Tamandua tetradactyla: one gene and its partner. The protein of the gene in region 2 purifies or fractionates together with the protein of the main gene of each other region. This does not show direct contact. Links are inferred from orthologs where the notes say so. Each region holds a gene or a part of one and is shown on either strand. Other genes may lie near its edges.

Evidence for each region. Proteins that work in one complex are often made in the same cells at the same time.
Region 1: the proteins of KAT2A (region 2) and TAF10 purify together in Homo sapiens (affinity purification with mass spectrometry; 8 studies listed by BioGRID and IntAct, with this or other methods). This does not show direct contact. The link is inferred for Tamandua tetradactyla from reciprocal best matches to the Homo sapiens genes KAT2A and TAF10.

Annotation. Positions count from the first base shown.
Region 1 is NC_135334.1:80,052,823-80,059,622, reverse strand, and holds TAF10 (transcription initiation factor TFIID subunit 10), read left to right. Parts: upstream 1-4,779; 5' UTR 4,780-4,792; coding exon 4,793-5,024; intron 5,025-5,196; coding exon 5,197-5,351; intron 5,352-5,585; coding exon 5,586-5,650; intron 5,651-5,738; coding exon 5,739-5,853; intron 5,854-6,033; coding exon 6,034-6,123; 3' UTR 6,124-6,200; downstream 6,201-6,800. Other genes in the region: TPP1 (tripeptidyl-peptidase 1), read left to right, coding at 165-363, 535-728, 961-1,025, 1,468-1,588, 1,699-1,857, 2,014-2,139, 2,319-2,459; scaffold protein ILK, read right to left, coding at 6,433-6,582, 6,758-6,800. UniProt on the Homo sapiens protein: The TFIID basal transcription factor complex plays a major role in the initiation of RNA polymerase II (Pol II)-dependent transcription.
Region 2 is NC_135332.1:25,120,304-25,127,670, reverse strand, and holds the start of KAT2A (histone acetyltransferase KAT2A), read right to left. Parts: upstream 3,046-7,367; 5' UTR 2,988-3,045; coding exon 2,649-2,987; intron 2,511-2,648; coding exon 2,387-2,510; intron 2,042-2,386; coding exon 1,896-2,041; intron 1,796-1,895; coding exon 1,706-1,795; intron 1,440-1,705; coding exon 1,258-1,439; intron 1,164-1,257; coding exon 972-1,163; intron 83-971; coding exon 1-82. Other genes in the region: HSPB9 (heat shock protein beta-9), read left to right, coding at 4,219-4,698; RAB5C (ras-related protein Rab-5C), read right to left, coding at 6,335-6,450, 6,983-7,076. UniProt on the Homo sapiens protein: Protein lysine acyltransferase that can act as a acetyltransferase, glutaryltransferase, succinyltransferase or malonyltransferase, depending on the context.

The DNA of each region.
Region 1 (6,800 bases), on a different chromosome or scaffold from region 2:
TGCAGACAGCCCCAAGGTCCTCATGGCTTCCCCAAGGTGTCCTTGGTGACTTACTGCCTGGGGTTTCTTGCTCTCTGCCTCTGACCCCTAGGCTCTCATTCCCTGGCCTGTGATCTGGGACTGTGTCCTCTGACCCATGACCCCTGCTCTGACTCCCTCCATAGTTCCTGGAGCAGTACTTCCGTGAAGCAGACCTAACTGAGTTCATGCACCTCTTTGGTGGAAGCTTTGCACACCAGACATCAATAGCCCGTGTAGTTGGACAACAGGGCCGGGGCAGGGCTGGGATCGAGGCCAGCCTAGATGTGGAGTACCTGATGAGTGCTGGTGCCAACATCTCCACCTGGGTCTATAGTAACCCTGGTACTGCCAAGGGGCTGGTTGGTGGGGAAGAGGGTGGAGAGTGGGCATTGATCCCAGATGCCTCAAGGGACTCCCATGAGCTGAAGGGAGATCCTGACAATGCCCCCACCAATAACGACCTTTGTCCTCTCCCCCTGGCCCCTTATCCCCTACCCCTGCCCATAAATCCAGGCCGGCATGAGGCACAAGAGCCCTTCTTACAGTGGCTCCTACTGCTCAGTAATGAGTCAGCCCTGCCACATGTGCACACCGTGAGCTACGGAGATGATGAGGACTCTCTCAGCAGCAGCTACATCCAGCGGGTCAACATCGAGTTCATGAAGGCCGCTGCTCGGGGTCTCACCCTACTCTTTGCCTCAGGTGACCTCTTACCCTAACCTTAGATCCCTACCCAGCCAACCTGGGACCTTTAACCTTACAGTGATCCCTGAGCCTGATCTTTGAGTCATAACCTGAACTCAGACCCTCAGTAGGGACCATAGGTCTGACCTCTAGACTCTGACCTCCATAGCAATGACTGACACCTAAACTTCCACTCTGATTTCTGAACCCACAATGAAGGTCTAAGTGCTAAACTTGGTCTCTCTCCTAGGTGACAGTGGCGCTGGGTGTTGGTCTGTCTCTGGAAGACACCAGTTCCGTCCTAGCTTCCCTGCCTCTAGGTAAGTACCCCAGTCTACCACTTACCTGTGACCACCAGCCTCTCACCTGTGATCTCATGATGTAGAATCTTTGTCTTGACCTCACCAGGCCCTCCTATTGCTCAGCCCTTAGCTTTACCTCCCCTAGTTGCTACACTCCCTTCTCTTCTTCCTGTAGGTCCCTGGCCCCACACCTTCTGAGCGGGACACAACCCCCAAGTGTTCTTCCTCCCAGTCCTGAGGCATTTAGGGGAAGATTTGGCACATGTTCTGTAGAGAAATGTATGGCCAATCACCTGTGGCCATGTCTTGAGGGCCCAAAACCTCTTAGTCACCCCAAAGTACATCCTTCCCCATGGAGTCTAGCCCATCCAGCAAGATCTAGTCTGTACTCACCCACCCTCATACATCTTGGAGTTCCTCTTGAATTCCCTGTAACCTGAGGGCTGTCTTGTTCCCTCAGCCCCTATGTCACCACAGTAGGAGGCACATCTTTCCAGAATCCCTTCTTCATCACAGACGAGGTTGTTGACTATATCAGTGGTGGTGGCTTCAGCAATGTGTTCCCACAGCCTTCATACCAGGTATGTGTATGTTTGTGTGGATGGATAGGTGGTAGTGTTCGAGATCCTCACTAGTTCAGCAGACTAAAGGGCAGGCTACAGGCCAGTACTCACTCCACAATGCCTTTTAGGAGGAAGCGGTAGCCCAGTTCCTGAGCTCCAGCCCTCATCTGCCACCATCCAGTTACTTCAATGCCAGTGGCCGTGCCTACCCAGATGTGGCTGCACTTTCTGATGGCTATTGGGTGGTCAGCAACAGCGTGCCCATTCCATGGGTTTCTGGCACTTCGGTGAGAATCAGCCTGGGTCTAAATCTCCTCTCAGGAAACTGTCCTCATCCTGTACCCCCAAGACCTTATACTCAGAACCCCTAACTCCTTAGAGACCTCCCTATAAGTCCAATCTCTCTCAACCTCTGATTTCTACTTACACCCTCATACTTGTAGGCCTCCACTCCAGTGTTTGGAGGACTCCTGTCCCTGGTAAATGAGCACAGAATACTCAGTGGCCATCCCCCTCTCGGCTTTCTCAACCCAAGGCTTTATCAACAGCGTGGGGCAGGACTCTTTGATGTAAGTGTGGTAGGGAAGGGTGTGTGCTTTCATATGAGTATGGGGAATGGTAAGGTAAACTTGAGGGTAGTTCTGATGGGGTGGGGAAGTCTCAGGGCTGTGAGTACAGGGTGAGGATCTATACTATCTGGTAGTACTGGAACCAGCAGGTCCAGATCTGATGCCTACTTCCTCCCCAGGTGACCCGTGGCTGTCATGTGTCCTGTCTGAATGAAGAAGTGGAGGGTCAGGGCTTCTGCTCTGGTCCTGGCTGGGATCCTGTGACAGGCTGGGGAACACCTAACTTCCCAGCTCTGCTAAAGACATTACTCAACCCCTGACCTTTTCCTGCCAGGAGTTCTGGCATGTCCCCTGCCCTGCAACCAGTGCTGGGTCTCTTATTCTGCACTGTTGGAAACCCTGCTGAACCCTCAACTGTTGACTGCTGCAGACAGCTTTCCTCCCTAACTCTGCAAGGCTGTGAGTTTGACTTGACTTCCAATCCTCCCTTGTTCCGTCATACTTAGGTCTCCCTACTCCTGCCTCAGGTTCCTCTGCAAGATGCTATAACCAGAACTTTTGGGGATGCCCCATCTCTTCTAAACCTGACTTTTCCAAAGGTTGTCCACAATATGTGCACTTTTTCATGTTCATTCAGCCCACTGCAATGAATCCTCTGCTTTAATGGGTTATTCTATCCTCCCCTGACAGTGGGCTCACCGTGAAACAATGGCCTCCTTGCTGCTTCATCTTTGCTTTATGGGCTCTCTATCACCATTACCCACTCCCTCTCCTTCCTTAGCTTCCAGGACTTAACTTCTCCTTCTCTGACTACTCCTGTCTTCTTCAATCATGGACTTCTCTTTTCTGCTTACTCATTGAATACTGGTGTTCACCATTGCTCCATCCTTAGTTTTTTGCTCTGCTCACTGTACCCATTGTCCCCTAGAACAAATCACTGGAATCTCAGCCATCACTGTCTCACTAAATCAGCCTCTACCCAACAGTGATTGATACCTCAAATACAAGATGTATAATATTCAACACTTCATCTTCCTCCTTGCCAAATCTGAACTGTTCCACCTCTTTATTTTCTTCTTGGTGATTCCTACTATGCCCCCTCCAAGCCAGAAACCTAAGAGTCATCCTACACTCCCATTTCCTTTACCTTACCTTCCCCCTACCTTCAATCAACAAGTCCTACTGACTTTACCTTGTAAGTATGTCTACATCAATCCATAAATTTTGCCAATTGTATTTCCTAAACATATCTGGAACTCATCCATGTCTCTCCATCTCCACTGCTACTTTGTTAGTTGAAGACTTCTCTCTCTGAACAGGAGGCCCTTGCAAAAACAGTGTCCACACTTCCTGCCCTTCCTAAACTTTTTTGAGAATATGCATATGCGATCAGGTCATACTTGATCAAAACCCTTTAAAGATGACTGGATAAATTTCAGGCTTTTTATCATGGCTTGCAAGACCTGATCCCTTCCTTTTTTGTTATTTGTGGCTGACGAACAAATTGATTATCTTCCCCTTGCACAATAAACTCCCTCTCCCCAACCTTTGCTCAAGCTGTTCTCTTAGACCTTTGCCTGGTAAATTTCCAGGATTCTTTCAAGACTCCACACTTGGAATTCACCTTCTCTTATGAAACTGTTCAGTTGCCTGAGATTCAGTTAGATGAATTTGGTATAGAAAAACAAAAACAAAAAAACCCAGATTTTTGTAATCAATCCATTAAATTCTTGATTCTGGTATGTACTATCAAAAGGCCTTAGGTAAATACTTCTATTTCTCTGAGCCTCTCAGAATAATCAGGGAATAAGTGGGATAACGTTGATAAAATGCCTGGACACTGGAGTAGGCAGCAAATATTAGTTCCCTTCCTCCTTTGCACTGCACACCCTGTGCCTACCTCTACTATTGTAAGTACCACATGGTAATGAAATTGCCAGTTTCCTTGTTTGTCTCGCTTTCCAAGACCGTCGGTGCCTAGAGGACTAGAATCTTGTCCTACTTAAAGTTGAATTCCCAGGCTCTAGCTCAGGGGTTGGCAAATAGAATTCAGTAAATGCTTGTCGAATTGAAAACCTCGCGCTTTCTCTGGCTTTGATTTGCTTATGTCATTTGCTCGAGGCCGAAATAACGCTCCTCATCTACTGGAGCATTGTGTCCCGCCCTCCTGCTTCTGCACTTCTCTGGGCAGTTGGCGAGACAGGGGACGCGGGATGCTCTCCCACTCCACTACGATCTCTTAAAATCTGAATGAGGGCTCCAGAGGGAAAGCAGATTGGCAGACAACCTGTGGTCGAGGGTATCTGGCCGATGCAATATTTTGGGAGCGTCAGCTGAATGGAATGTCCCCAGACCAGCACAAGAGAGTCCCGGAAATACAGTGGTTGTTTTCCCGGCGGAACTGTCTCGGAGTACCGCTGAGTGGGAGAGCAGGCTGGCCCCGGCCTGCGCAGTTCTCCAGGTATTGGCCTCCGCTCTTGCGGACAGTTCACCTAATTGGCCAAAGAGAAACAACCTAAGGCCGGAGACCCGAGGGAGAGAGCAAATATGCTGTGGGAGGAGCGAGTTGTGAAGCGTGTGACATCACCCTGGTGTGTGCGTAACGTGGGCGGAAGCGGAAGCTGCTCTGTTCGCCGCCTCTCTCACCGGCCCGATGAGCTGCAGCGGCTCCGGCGCGGACCCCGAGGCGGCGCCGGCGTCCGCCGCCTCGGCCTCGGGTCCGGCACCCACTGCCTCGGCCTCAGCAGCGCTGCCTGCCAGCGCCGCCGCGGAGAGCAAGGGCAGCCCCGCAGGGATAGCAGGGGGCCCTGGGGCTGGAGCCGCGGCTGGGGGCTCGGGACCCGTGGCGGCGCGGGCTGGAGAGACGGCCGAGAGGCGCGGGGCGAGTGAGGGCCGGGCCGGGGCGGGTGAGGGTGAGGGAAAGCGCCTGGGGCTGGGTTCAGAGGCGAGTAAGGGTAGAGGGCACAAGCGTCTGCGACCCAGCGGCGAGTAAGGGGACAGGGTACTAGGGTCCTGCACGCCCCCACCTCCGTTTTCACTTTGTTGGTTCTCCGCTAGCTCCTGTGTCGGCGGGCGGCGCGGCGCCCCCGGAGGGTGCCATGTCTAACGGAGTTTACGTACTGCCGAGCGCGGCCAACGGAGAGGTGAAGCCGGTGGTGTCCAGCACACCTCTGGTGGACTTCCTGATGCAGCTGGAGGATTACACGCCTACGGTGGGCTTCCCGCCTGAACAAGGCCACTTGGCCTACTGTCATGCCAACCTTTGCCATGAATTACTTCCCCAGTGCTTTCCTGTGTTTGCTGCCCTCCTCTTATGATCAATCCCCTCTCCCCTTCCTGTGAGCTTCCTGATAACCAGCCCTGTTCTCCATTTCCCTTGCCTTCCCTCATTCTCAGCCCAACAGAGCTCAAGGTTAGCAATGACAGTTGTCTAATTGATTTCTCAGATCCCAGATGCAGTGACTGGTTACTATCTGAACCGTGCTGGCTTTGAGGCCTCGGACCCACGCATGTGAGTAAACACTGGACAAAGTAGAGTTCTGGGTGCTTGTATAGAAGTTGTTTCCCATCTCCTTTTCATACCAGTTTTTTCTCTCTAGAATTCGGCTCATCTCCCTAGCTGCCCAGAAATTCATCTCAGATATTGCCAATGATGCCCTACAGCACTGCAAAATGAAGGGCACAGCCTCCGGCAGCTCCCGAAGCAAGAGCAAGGTGTGAGGGGAGGCTCACTGAATCAGTAATTATCCTTCACAGCCTTGGAGGCTTAACTTATCCTGAAACCCTTTAGGGAAACCAAGTCCTAGGGGAGACTTAAGACCTACTCAGGGTCACCACCTGGGATTGAAATCTGAGATTCTTGTGCTCAGCTGGTGCTCTTCCCTTTCCCCTCAGGACCGCAAGTATACTCTAACCATGGAGGACTTGACACCTGCCCTCAGCGAGTATGGCATCAATGTGAAGAAGCCGCATTACTTCACCTGAGCCACCCAACCTAAATGTATTTGTCCCCATATCCCCACACCAGCCTGTTTTCATAATAAACTTTATTGTGACAGGCAGGCTGATCCCTCCCATGCTGGGAGACACCGTGTGGCAAGTGACAAAGCTCTGAGCCCAGCCTCTTTTGGGGCCACAGTAACAGGGGCGTGGGTAGGGGATGGGCCCCATGGCTGGGGTAGTACCATGACTGGAGACAAAGGAGGCAACCAGAGGCCTGCTGCTTTGGGGAGGGGCACTCCCCCAACTGTGTCCTGACACCCCTGGAGTTTTTTAGGGAAGGACTTTCCAGCCCTACTTGTCTTGCATCTTCTCCAGAATAGGCACAATCATGTCAAACTTAGGTCGCTTAGCAGGGTCTTCATTCATGCAGATCTTCATGAGCTTACACACATGAGGGGAAATACCTGGTGGGATGGTAGGCCGAAGGCCTTCCAGTGCCACCTGCAAATAGAAGGACAAACAAGGTAAACCTCACAATTTCAGTGTCGTGGGGAAAGGCCTATTGGGACAGGATTACTGTATATCTGAACAAGTCTGGGAACAGCCCAGACCCACCACAGTTACTGCCATCACCACCATCATCCCCCAAGACAAGTGTATGTGGCTTTGTTCCCACCTTCATGCCAATTTCCATGTTGGAGAGATCAGCAAAGGGTACT
Region 2 (7,367 bases):
CTCTGATGGGGGCATGGTGAAGCCTGACTCCCAGATGGGCGAGTTGACCCCGTAGATCTCCTCCTCCAGCATGGATAGGAATCTGTGGGAGGGCACAGTCTGTTCTACCACTCTTCCCTCTGACCAAGGGTGGAGCCCTAGGCCAGGCACCAAAGGGGCAGGAGGCAGGTGAGAGAGACAGACCCTGATCTCAGGGAGCTTGGAGTCTGAAAGGAGAAAGCCTCTGCCTTCTGGGAACCCCTAGTCTGAGGAGGGAGGTGCAGTACACTGCCTTCTGGGAGTCCCCATCAAAGGTGGAAGATGGGCACATCTAGGACAGAGGTCAAAGGGCCCACTCCCTGCCCTGATGTGCAGCACAGGGAGGCAGGGTCCAAGCTGATGCCACTCTAGGCTGTGTGGCCAGGCAGGGCACCAAGCCACCCTGAACCTCAAACTCCTCGCTGTCAACACAGGACTCAGAGGCTGCCCCTTCCAGTCACTTTATTCTCCCCTGACAGCAGAAGGGGCATGAGAGGGTCAGGATTAGAAAGTAAAGACTTCTTAAACAGGGGAGTTGTGAGGCAGGTTTAAAATGGGAGGAAGGTGTGGCAGAAGGGGGGAACGTGTTACAGAAAGGACTAGAACAGGGATTGAAGTTTCACCTCAAGTGTAAGCTCTGGTTTCTTGGAGTGCTGTGGTAGGAAGGACTCTGAGGCTGTGTCCAGGCCCCGTGGGAAACAATGAGTAATGTCTATCCTGGGTGCAGGAGGGGGAGCATTAACACTGTGCCATGTACCTGCTATCCCCACACAAGCACATGCAAAGGCAAATACTAGCAAGTTGCATCTGGGCTGTGGGCAAGTCTGCCCAGTAAACATCCAGAGCCCAGAAGGCCCATGGAGGGAGAGGAGGGGCCAATCTCGGAAGCCTTCCTGGAGAAGAGGGAATAACAGCAAAGGTGCAGAATCCTGATGGGCCAGAACAAGCCTTACTTGGGGAAGTGAGTGAGGATCAGGGTCCTCTTCTCGGGCACCAGCTTGTCCTTCTCCACTCGGAACTTCTCCAGCAGCTGCCGGCGAGTAACGGTGAAGATGGAGCGGAGGAGGCTTCGCCCAAAGACGTGGGTGGTCTCATAACGGGGGAGGCTATCGCAGCTCTGGGGCACGTGGCAGTAACAGAGCCATCTGCAGGGGACGGATGCGGCAGGTGAAAAGAGAAACCATGGACTCTAGACTGGGCCTACACACTTTCCCCCAGGCTGCCTCTGGCTGGGCCTACCTGGTGTAATTGACCTTGTAGGTGGCTACATCCTCAGCCTGGGACCTCTGCCGAAACTGGGCAGGTGTCTCAAGCTTCCAGTAGTTAAGGCAGAGCAGGAACATCTTTGAGAGCTCGAACATCGTCTGCCGCTCCCGGGGAGCCAGGTGGCTGAACTTGTACTGCACAAAGTTGAGCACCCCCTGGGAAGGCGGTAAACAAACAGGGGACACCGCCTGAGCACCCAGCAGGTGCTCCCCGAGGGCAGGGACAAGGCTCTCCTTTCACTCTGGGGCTTTCTGCAAAGAGAAATTATGCCCACCCCTCAGCCCTGAGATTAGCACAAAATCTCCTTTCTTCTCTGAACCTCTTCCCTGTACTCAGTTGGAGAAGCATGCAGAGCACAGGCTCCCCACTCCTCCAAGCTGTCACCCCTCCCATTCTCCTCTTACCACTTTCTCCATGCTACCTGCTCAATATTAGGCTTCTCAAATGGAGGGCTGCCCAGGGAGCCCTCCACCACAGGCCGGGTCATCTGCAGGATGCATTTCCGCAGGAGCTGGAGGGAGGGGAAGGGGGAGTACGGGTCAGCAGAGCTCAGAGCTGCAGAACCCCCTCGCCTCATTTCACACACACTCTCTCATCCGGAGGAAGCTCACCTTGAAGAGGTAGAAATACACCTGCTTGGTGTCCGTGTCCTCCTCCTTGTGAACAGACATGAACAGGTTCTCCACATCTACGACCATCCCCAGCAGCCGGTTAATCTCATCCTCAGACACATTCTCCAGGTGGGACACATGGTCCGCTACGAAAAGGACAGGTGGGAGAATTGGGAGCAATGGGAAGAAGAGATTAACAGGGACTTCCTAGCCCTCTTCATAGCCAGCCAAAATACACCTTCAGCCCCTCCAACTAGTCTCTCCAAAGAGACTGACTGCACCTGTGTCGGCCCTGGGGAGGCCCCTTGCCCCTCCTGGACTGGCAGATTTCCCTTCTCCTCCTTTGAGGTATACCCACTCCCAACCCCATCCCTCTTTAGGAGACATCTTTGGTTTTTCAGAGATGAGTCTTTGTGGCACTTGAGTTAATCTGTCCAAGCAGGACCCAGCAGCATCTCTGTCCCCAGGTATAAGGGCGCTGCCGGCCTTACCCAAGGGGTGCTCACAGCTGCGGCACAGCTCACTCAGGTTGGCGGCTGGCTGCTGCAGGTCCATGCGGGGTGCAGTGGGGGGCTTGGGGTTTTTCCAGCCATTACATTTGCAGGTCTCATTGGCCTGGCGATAGAATTATCAGTCATTGACCCGGCATCCCGGGGCAAGGAACCACTCCCCGGCCAGAGCCTTGCATCCACACGCATCGGAGGCCCTGGATGCCCCGAGCCCCGCCCCTTTCGCCCCAGGCCCCGCCCCCACCTTGCAAGCAGAGAAGACCCCTAGCTTCTCAAGCTTCTTGGCGCGCGGCAGCCCCCGGACTTGCGCTTTCCTCTGGCTGGCGCGTTGCTGCTGGCTCAGACCAGGTCGAGCCGGATCTCCCCCGCTCCCGGTCCCCCCACTTCCTACCCCGGGCCCCCCAGTCCCTGTACTCCCAGCTGGGGTTGCAACTGGGACCGGGACTGGTGCCGGAGTGGGAGCCGGAGCCGGGGTCGAAGCTGGGCTGGGGGCAGGAGTCGGAGTTGGGGCAGGGGCTGGGGATTGATGGGGACGGGGCTGCGCAGCCGGGGTCGGGGTCGGGGCCTGGGAAGGTTCCGCCATGGCCTGCCCCGCAGCGGAGCGCGGTGCGGCGCTCCCAGCCCTAGGGCCGCATGGGCAACCGGCGCTCAGTGCGCAGGCGCCACTGCCCCGGAGCATGATGGGAGTTGTAGTCGGCTATTGCCGCTCCGCTCTGCTACCAGGTTCCAGACTTTTCTGTCCTGTCTCTTGGTCCTCGACAGCCAGTTTAGGCCCGAGTGAGTAACCCAGATTGATCCCTCCTTCACTTCTAATTCCTCATGGAAGCTTCCGCGATAGTCAAGATTACTGTCCTCTTGGGGACAAGGAGGAGCATGCTACAAAACAGGAACCTGCCTGGGGGAATTGGGGAGCCCCAGTTCTATTTCTTGAGCTGTGTAGTCATGGCAGGGGTGATTTGCCTTTATTCATCAGTGGTACTCTTTTAGACACTTTTCTCTATGTATGTTTTCTTTCAGTAAAAAGAGTTCATTATAAAAATACAGAGCTCCAGAGGCATGGCTGCGGTCATAAAGAAGGCCGAGACAGGGATACGGTCTAGGTACAGCTGGACTCTCCCTCTCCAGACCGAGGGCAACTGGGGAACAGGGCCCCTGCCTTCATTTTTGTGTTCCCAGGGCCCAGCCCTTGGTCTCCCGCACCGTAGACTCCATGAATGGATGCTAAAAGAGGCAGAAGGAGGAGTCTGCCACCCGCACACCCTGGTCCGCACGAGAAACCATTGGAGCCATCAGGAAAAGGCAGGATGTGCAGAGAATGGAAGACCCTGGGAAGGTCACGCTCCGCAAGATCAGTCCTCTCCCCTTCAGGCCTTATTCTTAGAAGGCCAAGAGTGCCACCTTCCAGCCCAACGGCTCAATCTGCTCTCCTGTCCACGCCCCTGGCCGGTCCAGGCCAGAGTAACCGTGTGTGTAGCATCTTGTTGATCCATTTCAGTCACAGCCCGGCCGCCCAGAATCCCTGGCAGAGTGGGGGAGGACCCGAGGAAGGGGCAGGAGCGGGAGCTCCAAGGCGGTCCACCTGAACCTCAGAGGCAGGACGTGCACAACTGACCCTGAGCTCTGCCAAGGCGACCCTCGCTGCAGAGGAGCCGAGATGTGCGGAAGCGAAGGGCACCGAGCTGGACAGAACTGAGGGGAGTAGAGGGGGGGAGCCACGCGCAGCCCCCCGGAGCCCCTCCCCTCTGGGGCATCCGCGCCTGTAGGCACGCCTGGAGCTCCGCGCTCGCGCCCCTGGACAGCAGTTGCTCAGTCGGATGCAGCGGGGCGGGAGCAGCCAGTCCAACGAGAACCAGGTGGCGTCCCGGCGCCCCAGCGTGGCCCTCGCTGAACAAAATCAGGGGGTCACGCTGCCGGTGCGGCTGCTCAGGGACGCCTCGGCAGCTGCGCAAGATGACCATGCAGAGGACGGCTTCCAGCTGAAGGTGGACGCCCACGGCTTCGCCCCTGAAGAACTGGTGGTGAGGGTGGACGGCCGATCCCTGACAGTGACTGGACATCAACAACTGGAGGGCAACGGCCCGGACGGGGCGGGCTACCGAATGGCGCGGAAGGTGCACCGGGAACTGCGTCTGCCGTCTGCCGTGGATCCAGCCTCCATGAGCTGCTGCCTGACACCCTCCGGCCGGCTGTGTTTCCGAGGCCAGGGCCCTTCACTGCCTTCTTCTGAAGCCCAAACTGGATCGTCCCCGAGACTCAGGGACCAGGGCTCTAAGAAGGATACTAACCTAGTCTGAGCCAGTAAACAGCCATGTTGCACAGTAGTCTTAGTGTCCGTGGTCTTTTCTGGGGATTGGGGTCAAAGGCAGGGTAGAGAGACTAGAGGCACAAGCCGAGGGATGCCAAGTGAAGGGCTCAGTCAGGCAGGCAGGAAAGGCACCTTATAAGGTGGTGGTCCACCAAGAATCACAGCCTCTGGGGCCTTGGGAGAAGTTGAAGAGGGCAGCACTGTTCACTGCCTGGACCAGCAGCCTCCAGCTTTCCACAGCAGAGAGCAGCAGCTCCAGCAGGGAGCAGCAGAGGGCTCAGAGGGCCCAAGAACCACCCGGCTCCAGAGCTAGTAGAGGTCCCTGAGACCAGGGAGGGTGTAGCTTGAGCCTGGGGTGTGGATGGGTGCTGTGGAGGACAGACATGGTGAGCGAAGCTAGCCACTGCAGCATTGGCCTAAAGATTAGTCCAGGATTCTAAAGACTATCGATGTTCCTTCCTCTTCAGGGATGAGGGTAAGACATAGTCCCTTATAGAGCACCCCCCCCCAAGCGGTTGCTTCTGGTGTTTCAGAGACCAAAATCTTCAAATACACAGTACATGTCATCCAGGTGTAATCAGGAGGGAAAAGCAATTGCAGGACCATGAACTTTGAACTTGGTGAGACTCAGCCCCATGTCAGTCTTACCCCTCCCCGCCCCATTGGAGCTGGTAACAGTAAGGGCCTCTTTCTCTTGGTTACCATGATCACCAATATCCCCTCATATTAGGGAAAAAACACACTTTTGTTTGATAAGATTCAGTGGTTCATTTTAAATTCACTTCAAGAAAATTCCAGAGGGCACGGTCTGATAAACTCTGCCAGAGAAAGACAAGGAAGACAAGTGCAAGGTCGATCGATCGGCTGACTATATTGACAAGATACTGATTGGTTACATGTTGAAGAAAACATACAATACAAAATACAGAAAAAGTTGGTTCCATCCCCTCCCACTCCCCCCCTTACCCACCCACCCCTGAATACTCATCATCGTGATTTGGTCAGAAGAGGGCTTCAAAGCCAGAGATCAGGGTGACCAAGGAGGGTGGGATGGGGGTGATGGTTCGTGGCTGTTTCGATAATTCATGTGAAAATTCACTGTGGTAATATGGTGCCTCTCCCTGCTCTGAAGAAGGGTAGGCTGCAGCCTGAGGTCAGCCAGCTGAGGGAAGAGCTTCCTCTCCCTTCCCTCACCCCTGTGGCCTTCCCCACCATGCCAAACCAAGCCCAAGGTAAGGATGGGGATGCTCTTGAAGAAGGAAAGGGAGGGTAACTGCTCCACCCCCTGCCCTCAGGTACATGGGTGGGGGGAACGGGAGCAGAGAGCTACTACCAGCAGAGGAAAAATGGGAGAGCAGTAAAAAGGGGAAGAAATGGGAAGAGCAGATCTTATATATTAAAAAAGTGACTTAAGACTTAAAATTGAATTAGTATTGTACAGAAAGGTGCGGGTGGAATAACTCACTCTGGCCTATGATCAAAAGTATATGGAGAAATCATGGTAGAGCCCTCCCCCTGCCCCCCACCCCAGTGGTGCCCGAGTCGTTAAATGCGATTGGTTAGAGTGGATTCCAGTCGGGTCATTCAGGCGGAGGAGGTGGGGGCAGTGGACAGGCAAGGGGGGCTCAGTTGCTGCAGCACTGGCTCCGGCTGGCTGGGTTGTTCTCTTGGAGGTCCACACCTCGGTTCCGGCCTGGAGCACCAGCTGTATTCTGGGGCTCGTTCTTGGGGAGCTTCTTAGCTGTTTAGGATAGGAGAAGAATGCATTTGAGAAGGAAGGGTACCCCAATACCCTCTTCCAGTTCCACCTGAGTAGAATTCTGGCCCTTAACTCCCTTATCAGTGATAACTTATTGAAGGCTTCCATGTGTCAGTTTTATGAGTGTTTCAGGGAACTGAGGCAGAGAGAGATGAAATAACTTGCCCAAGGCTACAGAATTAATTAAGTGGTAGAGTCAGGATATGAACCCCGCAAAGCTGATGAACTAAAAAATCCTAAGAAGTGAGTGGGGGCATAGTGATAGCAGTTTCTGAAATGGGCAGCGAGCTAAAGAGTCAGGGAATGAAATGTTGGACATTGTTCCAGGCAATAGGAACTTCTGGGGTGAATGACCTACATGTGGGAGTGAGATGAAAGAGAAACTTTTACCGGAGTATTAGAATGGTAAAAGACCAGTTGGTTAAGGAACCCCCCCGCAGACCTTCTATGGAACAGCAGGCAAACGATGGACATGTGGTGGTGCATGATGGGGAAGACACAAGAGGCAACCTACCTATTGCCATGAAAATTTCATTCACATTCATTGCGGTCTTTGCTGATGTCTCCATGAACAGCAAACTGTTGTCATCTGCATAGGCTTGTGCTTCCTGGTTTGGATGCAGGTGAGAAAGAGGGTGGGAGGGAAATGTTGGCAGCTGGCAGAGGCTGGGGCCCAAAATAGAAATCTTTCCTGATCACAGTAGAGACTGGCTGGACAAATGCAGGGGCTTTCCAGCTTAAGGCTCTCCACCTCTGGGTTCTCCCAGGTCATCTGCACCACACCCCCATTGCTCCACTCCCCCTACAGTCCTGGGAGCTCAGGAACATCAGCAGGTTTCTTTAGGTCCATTCTGTCTTCTCGCTCTTCAAAATTAGAAGGCTAGGAAATACTTCAAGAC